4 linked regions of the Arabidopsis thaliana genome follow. The protein of the gene in region 2 interacts with the protein of the main gene of each other region in a pairwise test. Each region holds a gene or a part of one and is shown on either strand. Other genes may lie near its edges. The genes, in order: COL2, BBX29, COL4 and AT5G50915.

Region 1 (6,119 bases), on a different chromosome or scaffold from region 2:
TGGCTCGATGAAAATCCGCCTGTTTTGTGGTCCATAGTAAGAGGAATCTATGGCGCTCTAGTGGAGTGTGGCTTGCTTGAGCTCTATGCAACTGATGAAAAGAGTTTTTGCTTTTTAAAAAGTCTGGAAGACGCTTTTACCATCCCTTCTCAACTTTATGGCTGGGACTCTTTTTAAGTTGATCAGGAAAAGTGCAGTAACCTTTTTGGAAAGGGTCGTCACTTTGATACATTTCACGTGAGGTCTCGATCCCATTACTATATAGTATATACTGTATTAACTCTCAACTAGGTCTTATATTAGTTTTTATTACTTCTTATATGTCTGACGGTTTCTATGATTCCACTTAGACTATCACTCACTTTTATATAAATCTTATGATGTTATAGGAAAATTGTATACGATGCAGAATTTCGTAATTTGTCCCACTATTGCTACATTTCATTTCAAGTTACAAATTTAGGTTGTGATGTAAGCTCTTTATTTTGGTTAAGTAATCACTGTTTTCAGATCTCTCATAACTTAGGAAATAAATACAGTACTTTTGCTACACATATAGGTTGTGATGTATAATTGAGAAGAAAAAAAAAATAGGTTGTGATGTATAATAATGTTGAGCTCTGTGAACATTTCCAGATGGGAAACAGTAAGGCTTGGTTAAATGTCGTGCTTTCTTTTTCGTTGCTCTATCATCCTTTACTGTCAGCACATACCATAAAAAGTGAGAAAGTATAGTCCTTTATTCCAAAAGGTAAAGAGAAAGAATTATCCTTCTTTACTTGAATTTGGCATAGGCATCAACATCCTATGCTAGTTGCTGGTGTATATTAGGGTTCTCAGTATCTTCACTATCTTACTCCCACTTGGCTGAATACGTTAACTTATGATTCCCGTTAACCGAAAATGACAATTAATGCTGATTTGCATGTTGGTTTTTGGAGTTTCTTAAGTTTGTGTGGACAAAGTTGTTCTATGTTATCAGTTTAATTGTTTAAATTACAAATCATGTTATTCTGAATAATCCTTCCTCAGGGAATGAGTTGGCATATGTGGAATTGACCTGCGATTTACGTGTTCTTGTGATCTGGAAAGTATCAAGAAACAGAAGATTCTACAGCCAGAAAATAATCGAAAGGTATTTACTTTGAACCTACTAGGCGTTGTCTTTCTTGTGAAGTGACAACTTGAAATCCGCTTTTAGTTTTCTACTTACAGCTACTCATAGTGATGCATATCTCTTTCATGTGGCACCAATTCAATTAGATATGATAGGCACTGTTCCATATGATAAGATTTCACCAATTCAATTATGTAGCGAGATGTTGCTTAAACAACTGCAGCTATAGGAACATATCTGATTAAACTCGTACTAGTTTGACAAAAGTCACAAAACTAAGGACCCATATGCAGTAATAACTTGTAGAAATCCAAACTAGAAGTAATTTACAGCATGCAATCTAGTCTATCTTCGCCATAGGAGTTTAGAAGGAAGGGACAATTCCATATCCAGTCTCAGACATTAGCGATGTTGAGAAGATTTCTTCAGCCTCAGCTTCAGTTTCTATCCTCTTTGCGAATCTGCCCTTGATCCGTGGTCTTATCTCTGCATATGCCTTTCTTGAAGCATATCTTATTGTCTTGTCAAATTTCCTTGTCTTCTTCTTCTCTCTGTATCTCAGGACCCTAGCCTCCCTCTCCATTGGAGTAAGCTGTTGCACCACCTGAGTAGGAGGACCAGATAGTTGGTCTATCGTCTCTTTAGTAGTTCTTGGGTGTTGGACTGTTATGTCACTTGCAGTTGACTCTGGCACAACACTGATGTCCATTGATGAAACGGATGCCTAATGACAGAGACAAAGACAGTTTCAATCTTCCGAGGTTATAGGAGCAAAGAATCAATGTATAGCGAAGCATACTTGTGATGACACAGCATGCATACTGATTATTGTGAACTAAAGAGCTGGCAAGTGTATAAAAAGCTTACGCTATGGTTTAGGTCCTTTAAGGAGTTGTTGTTGTAGTGAGCTCCTGAGGAGAATCCATAGTTGATACCCAACTGAAAGTTTTGTTGGCTTTGTTGCAGGTGACTTGTTGATTCTTCAACTTGAAGCGGCACAACTCCATCTCCTCCAAAGCTCCTCTGGTAGTGAGTGTACTGATTATCTTCGAATTGGTTGTCCATGCTGGAGCTGTAATCCACAAGATCAAGGTACTCAACACCAAACAAGAACCCATTATTCTGATTACCGATGTTTTTCCCTGGATTAGGGAGTAACCACGAAGCAACCTCTCGATCATCCTCATCGTTATCAGCATCAGTCTCACTTGGGGCCATGGAGCTGCAAGAGTTTGCAGATAATGGAAGAATCGGAACTCGCTGATGACGTCTAGCTAGTGGGTTTGCGGAATGAATCTCTGCATCACAAGCTGTACAAAGAGACGCAGCGTCTGCTTTACACAAAAACGCAGCTGGGGCAGACTCACATGACTGACAGACACGAACACGTTCATGGCGAGAAGCAACACGGTTGGCTGCGTGAACTCGAGCATCACAGGTGGTGCACAAGTAGGCAGAGTCGGCTTCACAGTAGACAGTGCAGGCGGCTGAACGACAAGTGTCACATGCTCGTGCCCAAGTACCACTCTCATTACTCTCTTCTTTCAACATTTTTATAACTAAAGAAGAAGGTATGTGTTTTTTAAGCAATGATTGTTGGCAAAAGGAGAGATTGTAATTAGAAAGGAGGGAAGGCTAATGAGACTATATCTAGGTGGTGAGAGGGGAAAGATAGAATCTTTGGAGATATACACGTGGCGCAGAGTTAGTGGTTGTTAAAAGTAGTTGGATCATCTTGTGGCTGTCTGAGTTTTGAACAAGGTCATGAATCATCAAAAAAGTTTTTTTCTCATAACCTTCACAAAGGAGAACAAATCTAGACCAAGTAAATCTTCTGTAAGTGAAAACATCTCTTCCTATTGTAGCTTTCTCTGTAGGACCCGTGAGCTGACGTGGATAAGATTCTCAGAGATTGCTATTTACTTTTACTGTTTTGGTTTTTTTTTGAATCTTTTGGTATTTTAGTTTTTTGCTTTTAAGCAAAGATGGAAACTTTTCTTATTGGAACATACATGGTAAGTAATCAGGTAGTGACCAAAGATTATACAAAGTAATACATAAAAGTGAAACTCATTTTGGTTTTAAATGTTGTTTTGCAGGTGGATGAGAAGAAAAAGCTGACATGGCAAAGTGGTGAATCTAGAGTGACCAATGAGAATGTGACAAATAAGCCTTTAGTGAAGAGATTAGGATGCTCATGAGCCACAAGTTATAATGTTATATATTAGCTTATATCAACATCACTTCCAGTTACCAAGAAATAAATCTTTTTTTTTTTGTGAATTGTGGAGTAATGTTGATAAGTTGAGTTTTTCAGTTGTTCACTGAAACAATATTGCCAAAATTGTAATTTAATTTTTTGGGAAATTATTAGATCATGAAATGAATATTTACTCCCTTTGTTTTGGTTTTTTACTTATATCAACAAATATTATATATATAATATATCTAAATCAACTATAACTCATTTCTTGTTTCAATTTGATAGTCAATCATGCATAAATCATCATTTTACAACAACAACAACAACAACAAAAAAAAAACTTGGATGGGCTGTACTCTGTAGTAACAAGAAGATATTTTGGTAACTTATGGACTGGACTGTATATTCATAGTTTGTACAATGCAAAAGCCCATTGGGCTTGAAAGGGTTTCTTTGTTTCAGGACTGTTCCGTTCGATTTTGAGTTTGACATAAATCCGAAATTTCAAAATTCCATTATTTTGAATCAAAGCAAAGCTTCCCCGAGACGCACGATGGTTCCGCCATTGCTGAAGCTCGACTTCACCCAGGGTCCAAGAGCTGGCGATTCTCTAGGGTTTAAACCCGGATCCACTATCCGAATTGGTCGAATCGTCCGTGGTAATGAAATCGCCATCAAAGACGCCGGAATCTCCACCAAGCACCTCCGGATCGTTTCCGATTCCGAGAACTGGATAATCCACGATCTTGGTTCTTCCAACGGCACCATATTGAACTCTGACACTATCGACTCAGATACGCCCGTCAATCTTAGCCATGGAGACGAAATTAAGCTTGGTGAGTACACTTCCATTTTGGTGAACTTTGGGAGTGATGTTGTTCAGGCGCCGCAGGAGCATAAGCTTCCGCCCAGGCCAAGGAGGAACAACAAGCGGCTTGCTGCTTCGGATCCGGATCCGGATCCTATTGAGTCGGTTCAGGAGAAACCAAAGCGCACGCGTGGATCGTCGAAGCAAGAGGAAAATGAACTGCCCAAGAGTACTAGGGCTTCGAGGAAAAAGAATCTGGACGATATCGCCGATAAAGAAGAGGAATTGGATGTGGAAATTGAGAAGGTGGTCAAAGCTAGGGTTGGGAGGCCTCGGAAGAACGCAGGCAGTGCAATTGCGAAGGAAGAAGAAGTTGTGGAGGAGAAAAAAAGGGTTGGGAGGCCCCGGAAGAACGCAAGTAGTGCAATTACGGAGGAAGAAGAAGTTGTGGAGGAGAAAAAAGGCAACTCTAGGGCTCGGAGAGGTAAGAACAGTGAGATTGTCCAGAAATCAATCAAATTGGAAGTTGAGGATACTCCCAAGGCAGTGGAAATCTCAGAGGTGAAAAGCAGGAAGAGAGTGACAAGGAGCAAGCAGATAGAAAATGAATGTTTTGGATTGGAGGTTAAAGATGAGAAGAGAACTACAAGGTCTACCAGAAGCAAGACGACTGAAATTGGTGGAGAGTCTTTTCTGGAGTTGGAGATGGTCCTGAACCAAGCCCGGAAAAGCCGTGCAAAGAGGAAGAAAATGGATGAGGAGCCATCCAAGGAGACTAGAAATGATGATGCCGGAGAAGAGGTTTTGAAGAACTGTCATGTTGAAGAAGATAAGGAAAATGAAGCTCAGGAAGGTTGCAGTGGAAGAAGTGATGACATATGTGATCAAGAAGATGAGAAGGAATGCGATGGATCTAAGAGGGTAGAGCAGGTGGAGATTGAGTTAAGGAAGAAAAGCACAGTAGAAGGCCTGAAATGCACTGATAAAGAAGATGGAGAAACAGAGAACTCACAAGATATTGAAAGAGAAAGAGAAAATGAAAATGAAAAAGAAGCTCAAGAAGGTTGCAGTGAAAGAAGTGATAAAGAATATGAGAGGGTTGGTGGTGGGGCTAAGAGGGTAGAGCAGGTGGAGATTGAGTTAAGGAAGAAAAGCACCGTAGGAGAAGATGACCTGAACTGTACTGTTAGAGAAGATGGAGAGACAGAAAACTTACAAGAAATTGAAGAAGAGTGTCACGACGAGGAAAGTGACTGCAAGGTCGAGGAGGCTGGATTTGCGACATTAGATGAGGAAAAGGTTGGGCAGGGATGGAACAATAAGAAAGTAGAGAGGGTAGAAGTATATTTAGAAAAAATGAAACTAAGAGAATGGTTTGATGCCATAGAGGTTCAACTGCCAAAACAGACAATTGAAGAAACAGAGAAGATGATTGAGCCCATGAGAAGTAAGAGTATGAGAGTTCACAAGCATATTGCAGAGCAAAAGGAAAAGGGCGACTAAGTACTAAGTTGATTTGATCCCATTTTGCTAGCTTCATGATATGTTCTAACTTATACCTGGGAATACTTTGATCTCATTGTTAAGTTGCTACCGGCTTAGTGTGATTTCTTCAGGTATGGTAGTAATCTTGTTAGAAAAAATTGAATGACAAAAGCTTCCTAGAAAGCATCTGTATCTATTACTCGCTTTGTGCACAATGTAGATCATGGTTTTGTGTTTATGACTTTGTTGGAACCACTAGTTTTTTGGAGTTTCTCTATTATTATGTCACTGCAACTACCAATATATCTTCAGTTTTACGCTTTTGGATCAGTGATCGATGAAATTCATTCATTTTGTGGGGCAACTCATGTGGCTTGCTTAAGCTCTATGCATATCAACATGTGAGAGTTGCTACAAATCGAAATATATACAAATTGATGAAGAAGATGAAAACACAGAACAGCAAACAACAAACAACAAACAACAATAACAAATAAATTGACAAT
Region 2 (5,018 bases):
TCTCGTCTTCACTTGGATCACTAACGAACTGTGTCCCCTCAAACCCTAAACCTTCTCTTGACTTCTCCATACCCTCTTGACCATTGTTACTTGCACCGCAAGTTCCATCACCAACCACGGGTTTTCGCTGACTCTGATCGTCATTATTGCTCAACGGAGCTGTTTGAGGTTGATCACAGACTATACAATCAGAATCAGAATCTGAATCAGAATCCGTATCCGAGTCTGAATCTGATCCAGAACAAATTATATCACTACTAGACGAATCATCATCGGAATACGGAATCACAACCAAATCCTTATGAAGAAACTGTTTAAGAGCTTTGCTGAAATCTAAAAGAGATTTAAAGTAAAGAAGATGAGATCTCGCTAAGTGATAACGAGCATCTCTAGCTGCTTTGATCAATTCCTTCCTCTCCTTACATAGATTCAACAATGGAGTATTACTATCTCCCTTGGAAGCAACGATACCCATTAAACCCTCTTGAATGATCTCTCGAAATCGGTTAAACCCTAATTTGATTTCCTCGCTTTAACAATTGATATTTCGTGGATTGATTGAGTTGTTGTACCTTTTGACGACATCACTAAAAAGTAAAAACCTTGTTTGGCAGAAGTACGACTTGATGATGAACCCTAATTAGAAACAAATTCGATTTATTTTGTAGAGCGACGCTGAAGTTAAACCGTGTTTGATTTCCTTTTTTTTGGTTAAGGTTAGTATATAATTTTAAGAAAAGGAATTAGATGAAAAGGAAATTTGTAGCTAAATGGAAAAAATCTCACAGTAAATAAGAAGATTAAAAACAATAAGTTACATGTAATTAATGTATGGGGGCACGTTATATAATTGATATTAAGATCAGCTAATGATGGAGTGTGTAAATTAAATTTCATTGACACTACAAATATATTTTCGCAATTCCTTACCAAAAAACAAATATATATGAAGTTATTTTCTTACAGTACAAAGTTGATGTTTTGATACTTGTATCTTGTAGTATCGAGATCTTGAATTTTCATTATGGAATTTGGTTGACCAGTTTGACAAATAAAATGATGCACCTCTCATAGAGTCATCGGTATCCCTGATAAAAAGAATCAAACGTGGAATGGTCCGAATGAATAAAATCTTAGTGTACATATATATAAATCATATAATTTGATAGAATTTATGTTGAAAATGTAAATAATATGTATTTTTATCAACAAAAAAATTTAAAATTATTATAATTGGGTTGATCACCCATACTGAACAAATTTAACAATTTCTATTGTAAATTTGTAATCCACTTCTCTTTTTAATAAATCTTTAAAGAAACTTGCAAAAGAAAACATAAATGGAAAAGAACTAACAAAAAATAAGGAGTAATTCGTAAGATAGATGTGTATTGATTCGAGGCTTCTTCTAAGTTGTTCTAAAGTTGTCATCCACAAACATTTAAAAGTAAAAAAACAAAAAACCATAAAACTCAAAACACCTCCACTCATCAGCGCTTTTTTAATGCATGTGGCTCTCAAATGAAGACATCTCGTGTTCCTTTGATTCTTCACAATTCACACTTCACCCTTTACACCACTAATCTTCGCCACGTAAAAATTTCTCAAGCATGTTACGTAGGCCCAACTTTACCATTTTTTTTGTTCTTATATATATTTTACGTATTATTTGTTATCCTAAAATGACTTTCAATCCATCTTTGCTAGTCTTAATCTCGATTTCGTGATACAAATTAATTCCTTTGATCAAATGAATACAAATAATCAAATTAATTCATCTTTGATCATAGATGAATTAGTTTGTTCTATGGATCAAAACCACAGATCAAACTCTATCATACAAAAATCGTTGTGATTTTCTTTTAAAAACTCACAACTGTAAACATTTGAAATGACAAAAAATATTTGTCTAACTACAAGCTTCTTAGCTATCTATCTATCCTGTTTTTTAGATAAAAATTCGTAATACCTTTCATTTTTTTAATCCAGGTTTAATAATTTTTCAAATATATATTCTATATTCTTTTTAATTACCATTAGCAAATAACAAGTAATATATCGAATTGCCAATGATGTGAAGTAAAAATGTAAAATTAGTGGTTGGATTTATTTATTTATTTTTATTTAGAGAAAAAGACATTTAACTCGAATTATGTAAAATATGGAACGCTAAAAGTGGTTGATAAAATCATAAAATTAGGTTCTTCTCCTAGTAACCATGTTGATTCATGGACACCAAAATTTCCGAACCCAAAATGCGATATTAAAAATCCGATCATCATTATTATCCTACCGTAATACCAACGATATAAATGATATTTAATTCACTTTTCATTTTCGAAAACAAAACGCTTGGACCGGAACGAGAGAGGAATACTGAAAAAAGTAAAAAATGAAAGAAAAAAGAGTGGACCCATTAGACGTGTATTGAGGACCAGACAAATCCCAGGTGCGGATCACGTGGTTCTAAGTCTATTACAGAACCTGATTCGTCCACGTAGGATAACTCAGAATCTTCCCTCTCCTCTATACGAGGCTAATATCTCGCCACGTCATTAACTAAAAATCTAACCGCATAAAAATATCTGATGAAACATAAAACGAATAATATCTCGACACGTAAGACTTCGCCCATAGGAGAGCCTTGTCCCAGTACATGGTTTCAGGACCAAGTAAATAACAACATTTCCTTTAATTTTTATTATTATTATCATCTCTCCTAAATTTAAGAATTCGAGAATAATACTCAGCCGCGGAAACCTTAATCAATTTCAAACACAGATTTAGAACTACTAATACAAAATTATCCACAAATTATCCACCATAAAAATTAAAGTTTGAACGAATCCTTTAATCTTATTCTAATTTAAAATTAGGAAGCTTCTTTGCATTTCATTAAAAAATTACGTGAAAAATCGTTTCGTTAATATCAAAAAGACGACAATATCCTCGAAAAGAATTAAATCACATAAAAGTCGCCACGAAATTCTCATTTTACAATTCTCTATTACGCTGTCTCTTATTCGTGTCCGCAGAAGAAACGAGAGAAGAGAGAGAAGCAAAAGACCTTACCAAGAATATTTATAACACACAAACATCTAGAGACAGAGATAGACATAGAGAGAGAGCTTGTGGTTGTGGTTGTGCGAGATAATATCTAGAGATGGGGAAGAAGAAGTGCGAGTTATGTTGTGGTGTAGCGAGAATGTATTGTGAGTCAGATCAAGCGAGTTTATGTTGGGATTGTGACGGTAAAGTTCACGGAGCTAATTTTCTGGTGGCGAAACACATGCGTTGTCTTCTATGTAGCGCGTGTCAGTCACACACGCCTTGGAAAGCTTCTGGGCTGAATCTTGGCCCAACTGTTTCTATCTGTGAGTCTTGTTTAGCTCGTAAGAAGAATAACAACAGCTCCCTCGCCGGGAGGGATCAGAATCTTAACCAAGAAGAAGAGATCATTGGTTGTAACGACGGAGCTGAGTCTTATGATGAGGAAAGCGATGAGGATGAAGAAGAAGAAGAAGTGGAGAATCAGGTTGTTCCGGCTGCGGTGGAGCAAGAACTTCCGGTGGTGAGTTCGTCGTCTTCGGTTAGTAGTGGTGAAGGAGATCAGGTGGTGAAAAGGACGAGACTTGATTTGGATCTTAACCTCTCCGATGTATGAATATGAATCTTTTTCTTTATCTTCTTTTATTATTAGGAAATGATTAAGAAATCTGAAACAATTCTTTTTGAAATGCAGGAGGAGAACCAATCTAGACCATTGAAAAGATTATCGAGAGACGAAGGTTTGTCAAGATCAACTGTTGTGATGAATAGCTCAATCGTGAAATTACACGGAGGGAGGAGAAAAGCAGAGGGATGTGATACATCATCGTCGTCTTCGTTTTATTGAAATCGCCAAGGAAAGTAGAGATTGTAGCCGTTGATGATTCTTTTGTTTGGTTGATTAGATTAATCCTCATCGTTCATTTACTAACAACAATACTTTTAGTGAGTTGAGTTAGTTTAAAAACATTTCAATATAATGATTTTTTTTTGTGTTTTTTTTTCTGTGTTACCTAGAATATATATGTTCATATGTCTAGTATAAAATCATATAACATAAAAAATAAAATGAAGCAAAGTTGTTCAGAAAATGATTAAGAAAATGAAGCTGTTTTCTATTTATTTATTTTTTAACGAAAATGATTAAGAAAATTAATTAGTGAAACAAGAGATATTATTATAAATTTATAACGTGAGAAGGATTACCAGCCAAAACCAAAATTTATTATGATGTCAATTTTATTTGCCTTCCCAGAACTAGAAGTGTCTGTGTCATTGTGATGTTACAACTGAAGAGTACATAACGTATGAATGTCCGTTAGCTTTGTAAATTGTAACTACGACCACTAAAAAGAATCAAACAAAAAAGTTGTCAAGACTTAGAAAAAAGAAGATATTTAGTACCATGGGGTCCTCCTTTAAAGTTTTTTTAAAAAAAATTTATTTGTCAAACGCTTTGAACCCATCGTGTCTTTTGTATCTAAACCGTGTTCGAAGCTCCAAAAAAATAAAAAATGATGCTCTCATGATTTATATGTAACTAAATAAATTGGTTTTATTTCTAATTTTGAATCTATTTGTTTTGTGAGAAATGAGAAGATCCAAGTTTTTGGTTTCTTGATCGTATATGATAAATACAGTATACAGTAATTCAATTCATGGTAGTTAGAGAATTGGACGGCGAATGTCTACCAGATATTTTATTTATTTAAATTGAATGAAAGTAGTGAAAACATGTGGTTCTCATTGCATCTCTTTGCAAAGACCGATCATTTAAGCCGTCTTCAAAATACTAAAATATGAATATAATAATTAGAGATCATAATTTTAATTTAAGGTTTACACTTGGATAAATACTTGCGGATACGATGACATCACCTTTGAGTTAAACTTCCTTTCGAAGTCAGAAATACAAAAAGTCAACCCCAAGCATTAATCCACGAGTCTCTTTATTTCATTATTAGAGTTTA
Region 3 (4,943 bases), about 14 Mb from region 2:
GCCTAACTCCTAGATTGAACAGGGACTTGGAGAGTTGGAGGAGTTCTTGCAGTTTCCCGCGCGTTTGGTGATCGATTGCTTAAACAATATGTTGTTGCTGATCCAGAAATTCAGGTTTGTATCTTCATTTGCTTTGTAAACCACACACAACATCTACTTGTGTTCACTTAAGGTCATGTCTTCAACTTCAGGAAGAGAAGATTGATGATTCTCTTGAGTTTCTGATTCTTGCCAGCGATGGACTATGGGATGTTTTCTCCAATGAGGTTTGTAAAATTAAGTTCTTCTTCGAAAAACTACTTTCATGTTCCGATAAGTATCACATCAAACTCAATGATTGAGATCTCTCTGATGGTCTTTCAGGAAGCAGTTGCAGTAGTAAAAGAAGTTGAAGATCCGGAAGAGTCCACCAAGAAACTTGTGGGAGAAGCAATTAAAAGAGGAAGTGCAGACAATATTACATGTGTAGTTGTACGTTTCTTGGAGAGCAAGTCAGCTAACAACAACGGTTCCAGCTCATCCGAGGAAGCAAATCAAGTGCCAACCGCTGTTAGAAATGACTCAGACCACAAGATCTCAGCCAAAGAAACCAATCAAGACCATACCACAGTAAACAAGGACTTGGACCGCAACACTGACAGTCAAAGCCTGAACCAAAAGCCGATTGCAGCTAGAAGTGCCGATAACTCGAACCAAAAACCAATCGCGACTACAGCAACAGGACACAGCGTTTCTTCAGAACAGAGTGGTTTAACCGGGGAAAAGAGTCAAATGCCAATCAAAATTCGCAGCGACTCAGAGCCTAAGAGTTCAGCCAAGGTACCTAATCAAACGCAAAGCACAGTACACAACGACTTGGACAGTAGCACTGCGAAGAAGCCGGCCGCAACAGAACAGAGCGGATCAACGGGTGAAAGGAATCGAAAACCAATCAAAGTTCATAGTGATTCCGCCGCAAGAAAGACAACTCCCTCTATCTTTAACTAAAACGTCCACTACCTTCTTTTGATAAATGAATGTATCATCTTCATTTAACTTTGAACTATTTAGTGTCCAAAGATTTTGCCTCGAAACTGATTTATCTCGTTCATGTAAGTTTCTTCTCTTTGTCACCCTTTTTTCTGAGGTCTTTAACTTCAACAATGTAATTTCTTTTTGCAGTGTACCAAATTTTGTAAACTTGTTGATTCTAAATAGTTTGAGTACATAACATAAACAAGAACATATTCAAAATCACGATATATACAAAACAAGTTACTTATAAACAGTTAAACACCACCCACTCACTTCTCTTCCTCTTCATCGCCCACAACAACTAAAAATACTCATCAACAAAAAACAAACAAACTCGTTTAAATTAAACGTTCGTTAAAAACCTTATTACTAAAACAAACACCAAACCACCCACCATCTTCCATTTTAGAGTCTCTCCCTCTCTCAATATCTAAAATGTAGGTACAAGTCCGAACCCACTAAAGATACCACCATGACCAACCACATCATTGCTCTCATTTGTATCCGTCCGCTTCGCAAACCGTCCCTTGATTCTCGGTCTCATTTCCGCATACGCTTTCCTTGAAGCATACCTTATAGTCTTCTCAAACTTCCTGTTCTTCCTCTTCTCTCTGTACCTCATTACCCTCGCTTCTCTCTCAGCTGAAGTCAGCGGAACAGCCCGCTGTGTCCCCGGATCAGCTCCACTGGTTGCAGGACCACCGTAAGGATACGATACATCAGCCACCGAACCACCATCTGGCACCACTCCCACTTCCATCGACGATGATGACACCTAAATTACACCAACCATTGGATCAAGCCATTATAATAAGTACAATCAAACTGACAAATACTATAGGTTATAACTTATAAGTGAATATGATTAGATCTACACTAGATTAAACAAAACAAATGAAAAAGAAGACACCAAAATTCTTTGATTAATACATAATTAGATACTTAAATTAAGGATTATCATAATATTTCTTCTAATTACAGATTAATTTACACATGTTGCTCGCATAACCCTAAATTTTAGTCAGCCAATCATTACTTCCCAATAAATTAATAATTTTAAGTATCATCAAAAGTCTAAACCCTAAAGATCTAAACTTTTTCGTTAAAAATTGATAAATAATTGTTAATCAAACATAATCAATTAAATTAATCACTGTGATTAAAGAACATTAAGCTTACGCTGTGACTGATGCAATTGTAACCACCACCATAAGTAAAGCCTTTAGATCCTCCGGTAAAATCCATTTCAAAGCAATTCTCGTTCACCGTCGGAATCCTAACCGTCCGATTCTCCACCGGAACAACACCATCAGTACCGGAGCTATTCTGCTCTAACGATTCCACCTTCGGATCAACATTTCCATAATCCAGATCCAGATACGGATCCGGATCCGAGAACAAATACTGTTGACCAGTGTTCATCTCCGGACTATCTCCCGGAACTTCCTCAGCTGAAGTAACAGCAACGATCCCCGCCGTCGCCGTCGTTGTAGTCTTTGGATTGGGAAGTAACAGCCACGAAGCAGCTTCTTCCTCCTCTTCTTCACGGCTTCCGTTACCATCTATATCGGAGAAGTAACAGTCGTCAAGGAAATTAACGGCGGTGTGTTTAACGGAACCGTCACTAGAGACGGAATCGTAAAACGGAGTAACGGGAACGCGTTCGTGACGGCGAGCTAACGGATTAGCCGAGTGGATATCACGGTCGCACGTGACGCATAACGCGGCCGCGTCTGCTTTGCACGTGACGTGTGCCGGTGCTTGCTCGCACACTTCACACATCCACACGCGCGCGTGTCGTGACGCGAGTTTGTTCGCCGCGTGGACTTTTGAATCGCAGCTTAAGCATAGAAACGCTGCGTCTGGTCGGCAGTATAACGCCGCCGTCGCTGATTTGCACGAATCGCAGAGCTTTGACGCCATTTTTCTCTCTCTAAACCTCTTCTTTTTCTTCTCTCTATGTTTCAGTGTCTCTCTCTCTCTCTTTCTTTTGTGGTTGGTGTTACTATTGGCTTCACATGAGCGTGTCAATGAGTCTATCCATGTGGGGTCCATGGGTATCCATCTAGATCGAATGAAAAGTTGACACGTGGTAAAATCTTAGCCAAACAACGTAATTTTATTTCTGATGAAATTACTTGGCATTATAGTTCTGTGTGTTCTTTATTTCTTTATATAATTGTAATCGTATGATGATGATACTTGTAATCATAATTCTGGATCGTCGACATTTGGCAACAGGTGTTTTATTTTAGCAAATGATGCGTAGCAAATTTGTCTACGAACTTTTTTATATGATTTATAGGTTATGAATGGAGGCAGCGGACAAAGCGGTCTAATTTGTCTGCGGTTTACTCCATCTCATTTTTGGGGCGGACTATAAATCGCTGTAAACCAAGTTTATTTGTATGTAAAAACGGTCTGCAGATGGTCCGCAGCGGTTTTCTTCTATTTTTTTTGGTCCGGACCACTGCGGACTATTTTTGATGAATGATAAAACAAAAAACGATCTGATCCATTGACGGTTTTGTTCGCCCCAACCGTCGTAACCATTCAAATCCATAAGCTGACACAGAGAGTGGTTCTATTGCAAAATAAAATGAAAAAAGTGGTGAAGAAGTATGGGTAGATGAGTTTTAGGACCACCACCATGAGGAGCAAACTTAAATGGAAACGATACTGTGACTAGCGAGGATAAAGTAAATGGCCGGTGGGTAGGTCGGTCACTAGTGGGCTGAATATGGGCCTTATGTGGACCATTGGTTTCTAGTTATTACTGATATATTCTGCATGTATGTGTTTTGTTGTTCACTAAAATGCTTATTTCAGCCCAATAACTTTATTTCTCAATTTGCTAAAAGTCACAACACAAACTCACTGGTTTCACATAAACTTATTTCTTTTTTTATCAACAAAGAAATCAACGCCCTCTAGATAGTCATCAAAAATACCTCTTCAAAATTTCATGGTTAACTGCACCGTAACTATTCCACACATAACTCCAGGATAAGACCTTATAAATTTTTACTATCCTTATTACAATATAAATAAAGACTTATTTCAAAATTAGTAACTCGCATATTATATCTATTGATCAGATTTTGACATGTATAAAATATATATATATGTAAAACCAATATATGCTTCTTTTTTTACTAATAATTTGTTGTAATTTTAGTATTTTAGATTATTTATTTATTTTTTTTTTATTTATTTTGAATTATCTAAGATTCATTTATCATGCTTCTCATTTCTCTATTATTCTGATTTAATTGTGTCAAATCAATTTTTTTGGAAATTTTATTAGTTAAGCATAAATCAGAACTAGACAGAACACAACAGGCAATAAAAGAATTGAGAGTACAAGATGAAGATTTTGAAAATCGCGGTGGACTGATTTCTGCAAAAAGAAAAAAGAAAAAAAGAGTATTTATGAGAAAGTGAAGAGAATCGTCATTTATTTTAGGCTTTGATAATGAAATAAAATGAAAAATTTCACTTTCTTATGAAAACTCTTTTTCTTTTCTCCATAAATCAAACTTCTACCACGATTTTAAACATTACATCTTGTACTCTTGGTTTTCTCAAAATAAATTTTATGTTGTGTTGTGTCTGACCAACTAATAAAATTTAAAACTTCAAAAGTAAATTTGATTTGACATTATTAAATTAAAAAAAAATAGAAATATATAAGCATGATAATAATTGAAACTTAAATAATTAAAATGAAAATAAAAATTAGGAGTGATTATCAAAACTCTTAATTAGAAAAAGAAAAAAAAACAATATTGAAAGTGTCAGAATCATACATCATGAAAAATGTGTAACCGTATTGATTTGTGAAAGTTTGATTCAAATGAGCGTTGCATTAATTATGAGTTATGATGTAGGCAGAGTCGCATCGCCGCGTCAGGTAGTTGCAGCAAATA
Region 4 (6,117 bases), 1.4 Mb from region 2:
AAACTTATAATAATCTAATTACATTTTGACGTAATATCTTTGAGTTCCTTTAAATATAATAAGGAACACTGAAATTGATATAACATAGGATTAAGATAAAACGTTTCATGTTGAATTTGGTATTAGTGTAGAAGAAAGCGATGTCACATATTGGAACATAGCTAGTGCCAGTTTGCACAGGTACTATTAAATCTTCGGAGATTTTGCATAGATTCGTAAATTGAATAGATAAAAAACAAAAGGAGAGTCGTACCATCACAAAACTCATCAATTTTTAATTAGAATTTTTTTCTCTTTGTTACTATTTTATTGCATTGTAGGCGATGATATGTGAGTAAAAGGTTATCTCTCGTATCATGCGGATAGAGACTTCTATGAATATCTATTTCGTAGACGTAACCGTACGTTAATTAGTCTATTGCCAGGTTGATTTATTTGTATTCTTCTTAGTAGAGAAAATCAATACTTCACTAAACAAAATGGAAATAATATGGTAGAAGGACATAAAACTGTTTTGATAATAGAGAAGAAAACATATAGAGATGCAACATATTTGAATAACAAATATAATGAGATTAAGCTAAATAAACGAAGTGATTAATAGAGATCTATAACAGTTATGAGATCAACCTAACTTACTTCATATATCTTACAATCGTCACATAATTCACTAGACTTATCGGCCAGAAAACGCCGTAAAATGGAAGTTGTTTCTTTGCATTTGTAAGTAATGTTTTGGGATATAGGATGGTAGAAGAAAACTTTGAGTCAATTTCTTAGAGTGAAGTAATGTACCTAATCTATCTCGTAATTCAAGATTCATTTTCATATCATCCTTTCGTAATTAGTCTCGTGCACTTATTCTTTTCTTTAAATGTGATCTTGAATATTCAAAACACAGTACAAATAATAGATCAGCCGCTAATTAAATGCGTTAGATAAAGAATAAAGGTTTTGTGCAAGTACCCTGATTTGAAAAGAAGCAAAAGAGAGATATTGGTGAAGAAAATATGATGCCAATAAATGTTTATTCCTCATCCGGATGAAACGTGCATAATCTCTATCATCTTCGGGTTATGATAATTAATTACAAGCTCATGCGGACCTTTGACATGTAAATTATGTCCAAAAGAACAATCATAATGTTTTCTTGGTTCCTAATTAGCATGTTTTCTTTCTGCTCTAAACTTGATCTCAAAAAGAAAATCATAATAGAAAGTCCATAGATCGTATTCGTACGTATACAATTGATAATTAATTAATCGTAGATTCGCTTAATGTTTTTGTTAAGTACGTGTCATAATAATAATTTATAAATAGAAGAAAGGAATTATAATAGTCTAAATAATTAAGGACATGGATTGTGATAAATTTTGATGGTCAAGTACTCGTTTTTTCGATTATTACTATAAGAGTACCCGATTATATCAAAACAAAATGGAGATTTATGATTTTTTGTCTTCTATGCATACCCAACGGTATCATGGGATTGGACTTCACACCTTATTCACAATTTTTTTTCTTTTGTCCTTTTCTGAAAAGGAAATTTCCTATGTCGATCCAAAGTGGGAAATGGACAAAAGTTTTTATTTTCTCTAACAAAAATGGACAAAAGTTTGTAGTATTATGGTATCCACATAGAGATTATTATTGAGAAGATCACGCGGCATTACATATTTAGTTCTAAATGTACAGTATTTTGGATAGGGTAATATATCTCTCTACTATCTAGTCTTTAATTATATCTGACTCGTTAAACTGTGCCTATATATTGATCTATATATTAGCTGTGGCAAAGGTTCTGCAATCTGATAAAGTAAAATTGATTGATAAATGATAAATATTGCTCTTTTGGTGTACATTAACTTTTTTGATATGTGTATTATAGGTCCGACCCTCTTATAAAGTAAAACAAGCCATAGCTTTAGGGCATTTCTAAATATAGTTCGTTGTTAGGGCGACAATATTGAATGCTTACGTGAGTGTAGTTGATGGTCAATACAAATACATCAATTGGTTTTAGAGAACATTTTCCTCGAGTTCGACTGCCCACGTTGGTCGTTCTTTCGTTCATTTAATGGGTTTAGTTGATTACTTCTTTTTATAGTACATTTATTGTTTTCACGTTATGCGCTATTATATTCTTATAAAAAAAGTCTTAATTAAATGATATATTGATCAGTATTTGTCTTGTTTAGTTTTACAACATGGTTGTATTACAAATTATGTAGTATTTATAATCTTATATTTCAAAACATAATTTATTCTCTAAATAACATAAAACTATGGAGAATACAAATTACAACAAAATTTAAAATTATAAGTTCTTACATAAAGTAATTTGAAACAAATTTTCTAAAATATCATGATACCCATAGAGTAATAAAACTAAACAAAATAAATAGACAAATATTCCATGAGTTTGCATTTGAAAAAAAAAAAAAAAGAGAACATACGTATCTAAGAATGATGAAAGATCATTAGTCACCTAATTTTTGAAATTCAACATTATTTACTTAAATTTTCATTTTTACTCTTCCATGGTTACTCAATGCAATTACTTAAATATACAATCTCGATATTATATATAAACATATCATCTAACATAAATTACCCGCCGAAATATGGTAGTAATTTCTTCTCAAATAAAAAGGTATCTTCAATATACAAGTGGTCCCTAAAATACTCTTTCTTCTGTTTCTCCTTGTTTCTTTGAATAGTGAATACAAAAGCAATTCCTTATATAAACCACTTCAAGTCCTTAATCTTCTCTCACAAAGAAAAAACACTATCTCTATCGACAAAGATAAGAGAACTCAGAAGCTTCTACTCTTAAAATGGCAACTTTCTCTTATTTCCAAAACTACCCTCATTCCCTTCTTGATCCTCTTCTCTTCCCTACACCTCACTCCTCCATTAATCTCACTAGTTTCATCGATCAAAACCATCTCTATCCACTACCAAACATTTCCACAGTTGAAGACATTTCCTTTCTTGAATATAATGTTGACAAAACTGAAAACTCTGGTTCAGAGAAACTGGCCAACACAACCAAAACAGCAACCACCGGTTCTTCTTCCTGCGACCAGCTCAGCCACGGACCATCAGCCATCACCAACACCGGAAAAACCCGTGGGAGGAAGGCCAGAAACAGTAATAACTCCAAGGTATGTTAAACCAACTTGTAATGTATCATCTATCATTTATGTGATGGGGTTGGGATAGTCAAAAACATAAATGTTGGTGTGGTTTGGTGAATTAGGAAGGAGTAGAGGGAAGAAAAAGCAAAAAACAGAAGAGAGGAAGCAAAGAAGAGCCTCCAACAGATTACATTCACGTTCGAGCTAGAAGAGGCCAAGCTACTGATAGCCACAGCCTTGCTGAGAGGGTATTTTAGTCATTTCTCTTAACATTTTAATTTTTCTTCATTAATCATGTTTTCATAAAATACATTTTGATTAATATTTGATTAAACTTATATATATATATATGTAAAGGTGAGAAGGGAAAAGATAAGTGAGCGGATGAGGACTCTGCAAAACCTTGTTCCGGGCTGTGATAAGGTCAGCTAGAGTAGAGACAATTTTATTTAGGAGAATTGATAATGGTTTAATTTTATAATGTTTCTAGAAAATGTTATTAATTGATTAAATGTGACTTGAAAACGAATAGGTAACAGGGAAGGCCCTCATGTTGGATGAGATTATAAATTATGTCCAGACCTTGCAGACTCAAGTTGAGGTGCATTTTCTTAATTATTTTGTTTTTTCTTGTAACATTTTATGTTAAAACTAATGTTTCTAATTCATAACTTTTTTTTCTGTTTCATTAGTTTCTCTCAATGAAGCTAACTTCTATAAGTCCGGTGGTCTATGACTTTGGCTCCGACCTTGATGGCCTCATACTTCAATCTGAGGTATTTCATTTACACAATGTCTCTTAATCCGGTTACCGATAAAACCAAGTCATGTATCCCGAAAAGCCGGTTATGGATCTTAAGTAGATATTTTCTTGATGGACAGATGGGTTCTCCAGAAGTAGGAACGTCTTTTACCAATGCAATGCCAACAACTACTCCTATCTTTCCTTCACTATTGGATAATTCTGTAGTTCCCACACATGCACAAGTTCAGGTTTTTCATTTTTTTCTATAAGTGATTATTTCAGATAATAATTATAATAAGGAGAATGAAGATAGATAAGAATCAATTATTGGAAGATTAATAGATAGTGATGTGTTGCTTAATTTAGGAAGAGGGAGAAGAAAGAGAGAACTTTGTAGACAGAAGTGGGTTCAACAACAACAACTTCTGTTCTTTCCCTTGATAAAATTACATGTCGACACAAACACAAAAGCCTGCTTTCGTGAGTTTCTTCTGGTCTTGTCTCTTCAACTACCTAATTATTATCATTACAATTATTTTTAACATTTCTCATATAGAAATTGTTAAAAATCTTGATGTGGGTTCGTAATTATTGCTATCGTTTATTGGATGTAGGTTGATTTAATCTCCTCCCATTTGCACGGAGGGAATAAAATCTACGTAAACCAGGTTTTGTAAAAGTGGATGTACTTATTTGTTCCGTTTATATAGTTTGAAGAAATAAAGTATTTTAGAGACTTAAAAAGCTCATTTTCTCTATTTGTCCCGAGAGTTTCAACATAATCATTACATAAAATCAATGGATAAATTCATACTAAAAGAGAATGGTATATGAGGCAGAGGCAAATTCGATGGAGGAAAGAAAGACATATAAACTAAGAAGACCTATCAGCTTAATCATTGTTTTTTTTAATATAATTGAATTTTGATGTATCCACTCATTAATTTTATAAGTTCTTGTATTTTCACCACTTCTGTCTTTCTGATTTCTTGCACCAAAGTTTCCTTTTTCCTCCAATCTTTTTAAATGTAAACTGTTATCCACACACTCATGTTATATTTCCTATATATATAAAAATGTTCGAGGGATAACTACTTATGCATGTATATAAATCTAAATGATTCGTTTCCTGTCAATTTAGTTGGCTACAAAATTATGTCAGAAGAAAAGATTAGATTTCCCTTCCTGAGAACACTTTAATGTACCTGTTGAATAGTTTGGTCATGCTTTTCTGCTCTCACTTGTCACACATTGATAACTCCCATTCCTCTGTATCTGTCCTTTCACAATACATATGTTATAAGTTTTATTTTAGTTTAGAGTATGTCTAATATATATATACCAAAATTCTTGAAAGAGATATTTGATACTGTTGTATTTGTAAATATGATTTGTTGGTTGTCTAACATTTTCATGAGGTGGTAATTAACGATTCCTTGAGTTATTCAATCCTAAATTGCAGGATTTATTTGAATACACCTAAATAAATTATATGCAAGAGCCTTATGTATATTATCGTTATTCAGTTACATACATATTAATAACCTCTTTTATTAACGAACCTAGAATAGAGATTTTTTTGTATGATTTTCATTTCTTGATGTATATGTCAGGATGTATATGATTTGTGAGATTACTCTTCACAATTCAACAATTTGAGATTTTAGTTAAATAAGTAAAATTTAATTGATATCATCTCTTCTAAGATTTGTTATTGGACTATGGTTCAAAATTTTCACTTTTTCCCTTTTTTATTATTATAAATATGATATGTTGCTAGATGAATTGGGTCATCATTTTCTTGCAATTGTTTCGTCATGAATACGATTTTTTTTTTTTTTTTTAATCGAAAATGCATATGAATTTGGTCCCAAGTTATTATACGGCAAATTGATCAATCATAAAATACAATAACAAAGGAAATGCTAAGTTTCTCGTGGCACATAATTGTATCTGCTAACGGTTTCATCCTGAATCAATGGACAACACATTTCGTAAATCTTATGCACATCATTTCACCTCATATGTTTATTTCAAAGTATACCTCTTATAACTTTAACTGTGCGTTTCGATTCTTCGCATCATCAAACCTATCAAAATCAAACCCTAAATATCTGATGACACGTTTTATGCGAGAACGATTGGTAAGTTAACCGAAGGGTCCACGATTCAATTTGATAACACGCCTAGGTGAGAAAAAATGTTGTACATTATTACACAACTAATACAGCC

The links.
Region 1: the proteins of BBX29 (region 2) and COL2 interact in a two-hybrid assay, tested with the Arabidopsis thaliana proteins (one large-scale study listed by BioGRID).
Region 3: the proteins of BBX29 (region 2) and COL4 interact in a two-hybrid assay, tested with the Arabidopsis thaliana proteins (one large-scale study listed by BioGRID).
Region 4: the proteins of BBX29 (region 2) and AT5G50915 interact in a two-hybrid assay, tested with the Arabidopsis thaliana proteins (one large-scale study listed by BioGRID).

The regions. Positions count from the first base shown.
Region 1 is NC_003074.8:485,957-492,075, forward strand, and holds COL2 (CONSTANS-like 2), read right to left. Parts: upstream 3,512-6,119; 5' UTR 3,319-3,511; coding exon of another isoform or gene 3,217-3,318; 5' UTR 3,133-3,216; coding exon of another isoform or gene 3,098-3,132; 5' UTR 3,000-3,097; coding exon of another isoform or gene 2,882-2,999; 5' UTR 2,669-2,881; coding exon 1,985-2,668; intron 1,884-1,984; exon of another isoform or gene 1,842-1,883; coding exon 1,482-1,841; 3' UTR 1,113-1,481; downstream 1-1,112. Other genes in the region: AT3G02390 (uncharacterized protein), read left to right, coding at 2,882-2,999, 3,098-3,132, 3,217-3,318; AT3G02400 (SMAD/FHA domain-containing protein), read left to right, coding at 3,874-5,631. UniProt on the Arabidopsis thaliana protein: Putative transcription factor. Does not affect flowering time.
Region 2 is NC_003076.8:22,113,461-22,118,478, reverse strand, and holds BBX29 (B-box type zinc finger family protein), read left to right. Parts: upstream 1-2,939; 5' UTR 2,940-3,163; coding exon 3,164-3,658; intron 3,659-3,742; coding exon 3,743-3,895; 3' UTR 3,896-4,175; downstream 4,176-5,018. Other genes in the region: AT5G54480 (hypothetical protein (DUF630 and DUF632)), read right to left, coding at 1-475.
Region 3 is NC_003076.8:8,587,451-8,592,393, reverse strand, and holds COL4 (zinc finger CONSTANS-like protein), read right to left. Parts: upstream 2,938-4,943; coding exon 2,194-2,937; intron 1,790-2,193; coding exon 1,445-1,789; downstream 1-1,444. Other genes in the region: AT5G24940 (Protein phosphatase 2C family protein), read left to right, coding at 23-114, 192-266, 364-987.
Region 4 is NC_003076.8:20,708,973-20,715,089, reverse strand, and holds AT5G50915 (basic helix-loop-helix (bHLH) DNA-binding superfamily protein), read left to right. Parts: upstream 1-2,625; 5' UTR 2,626-2,837; coding exon 2,838-3,167; intron 3,168-3,262; coding exon 3,263-3,388; intron 3,389-3,497; coding exon 3,498-3,563; intron 3,564-3,672; coding exon 3,673-3,741; intron 3,742-3,832; coding exon 3,833-3,916; intron 3,917-4,022; coding exon 4,023-4,133; coding exon of another isoform or gene 4,134-4,154; exon of another isoform or gene 4,155-4,251; coding exon 4,252-4,326; 3' UTR 4,327-4,365; exon of another isoform or gene 4,366-4,499; 3' UTR 4,500-4,987; downstream 4,988-6,117. Other genes in the region: AT5G50910 (uncharacterized protein), read left to right, coding at 5,808-6,029.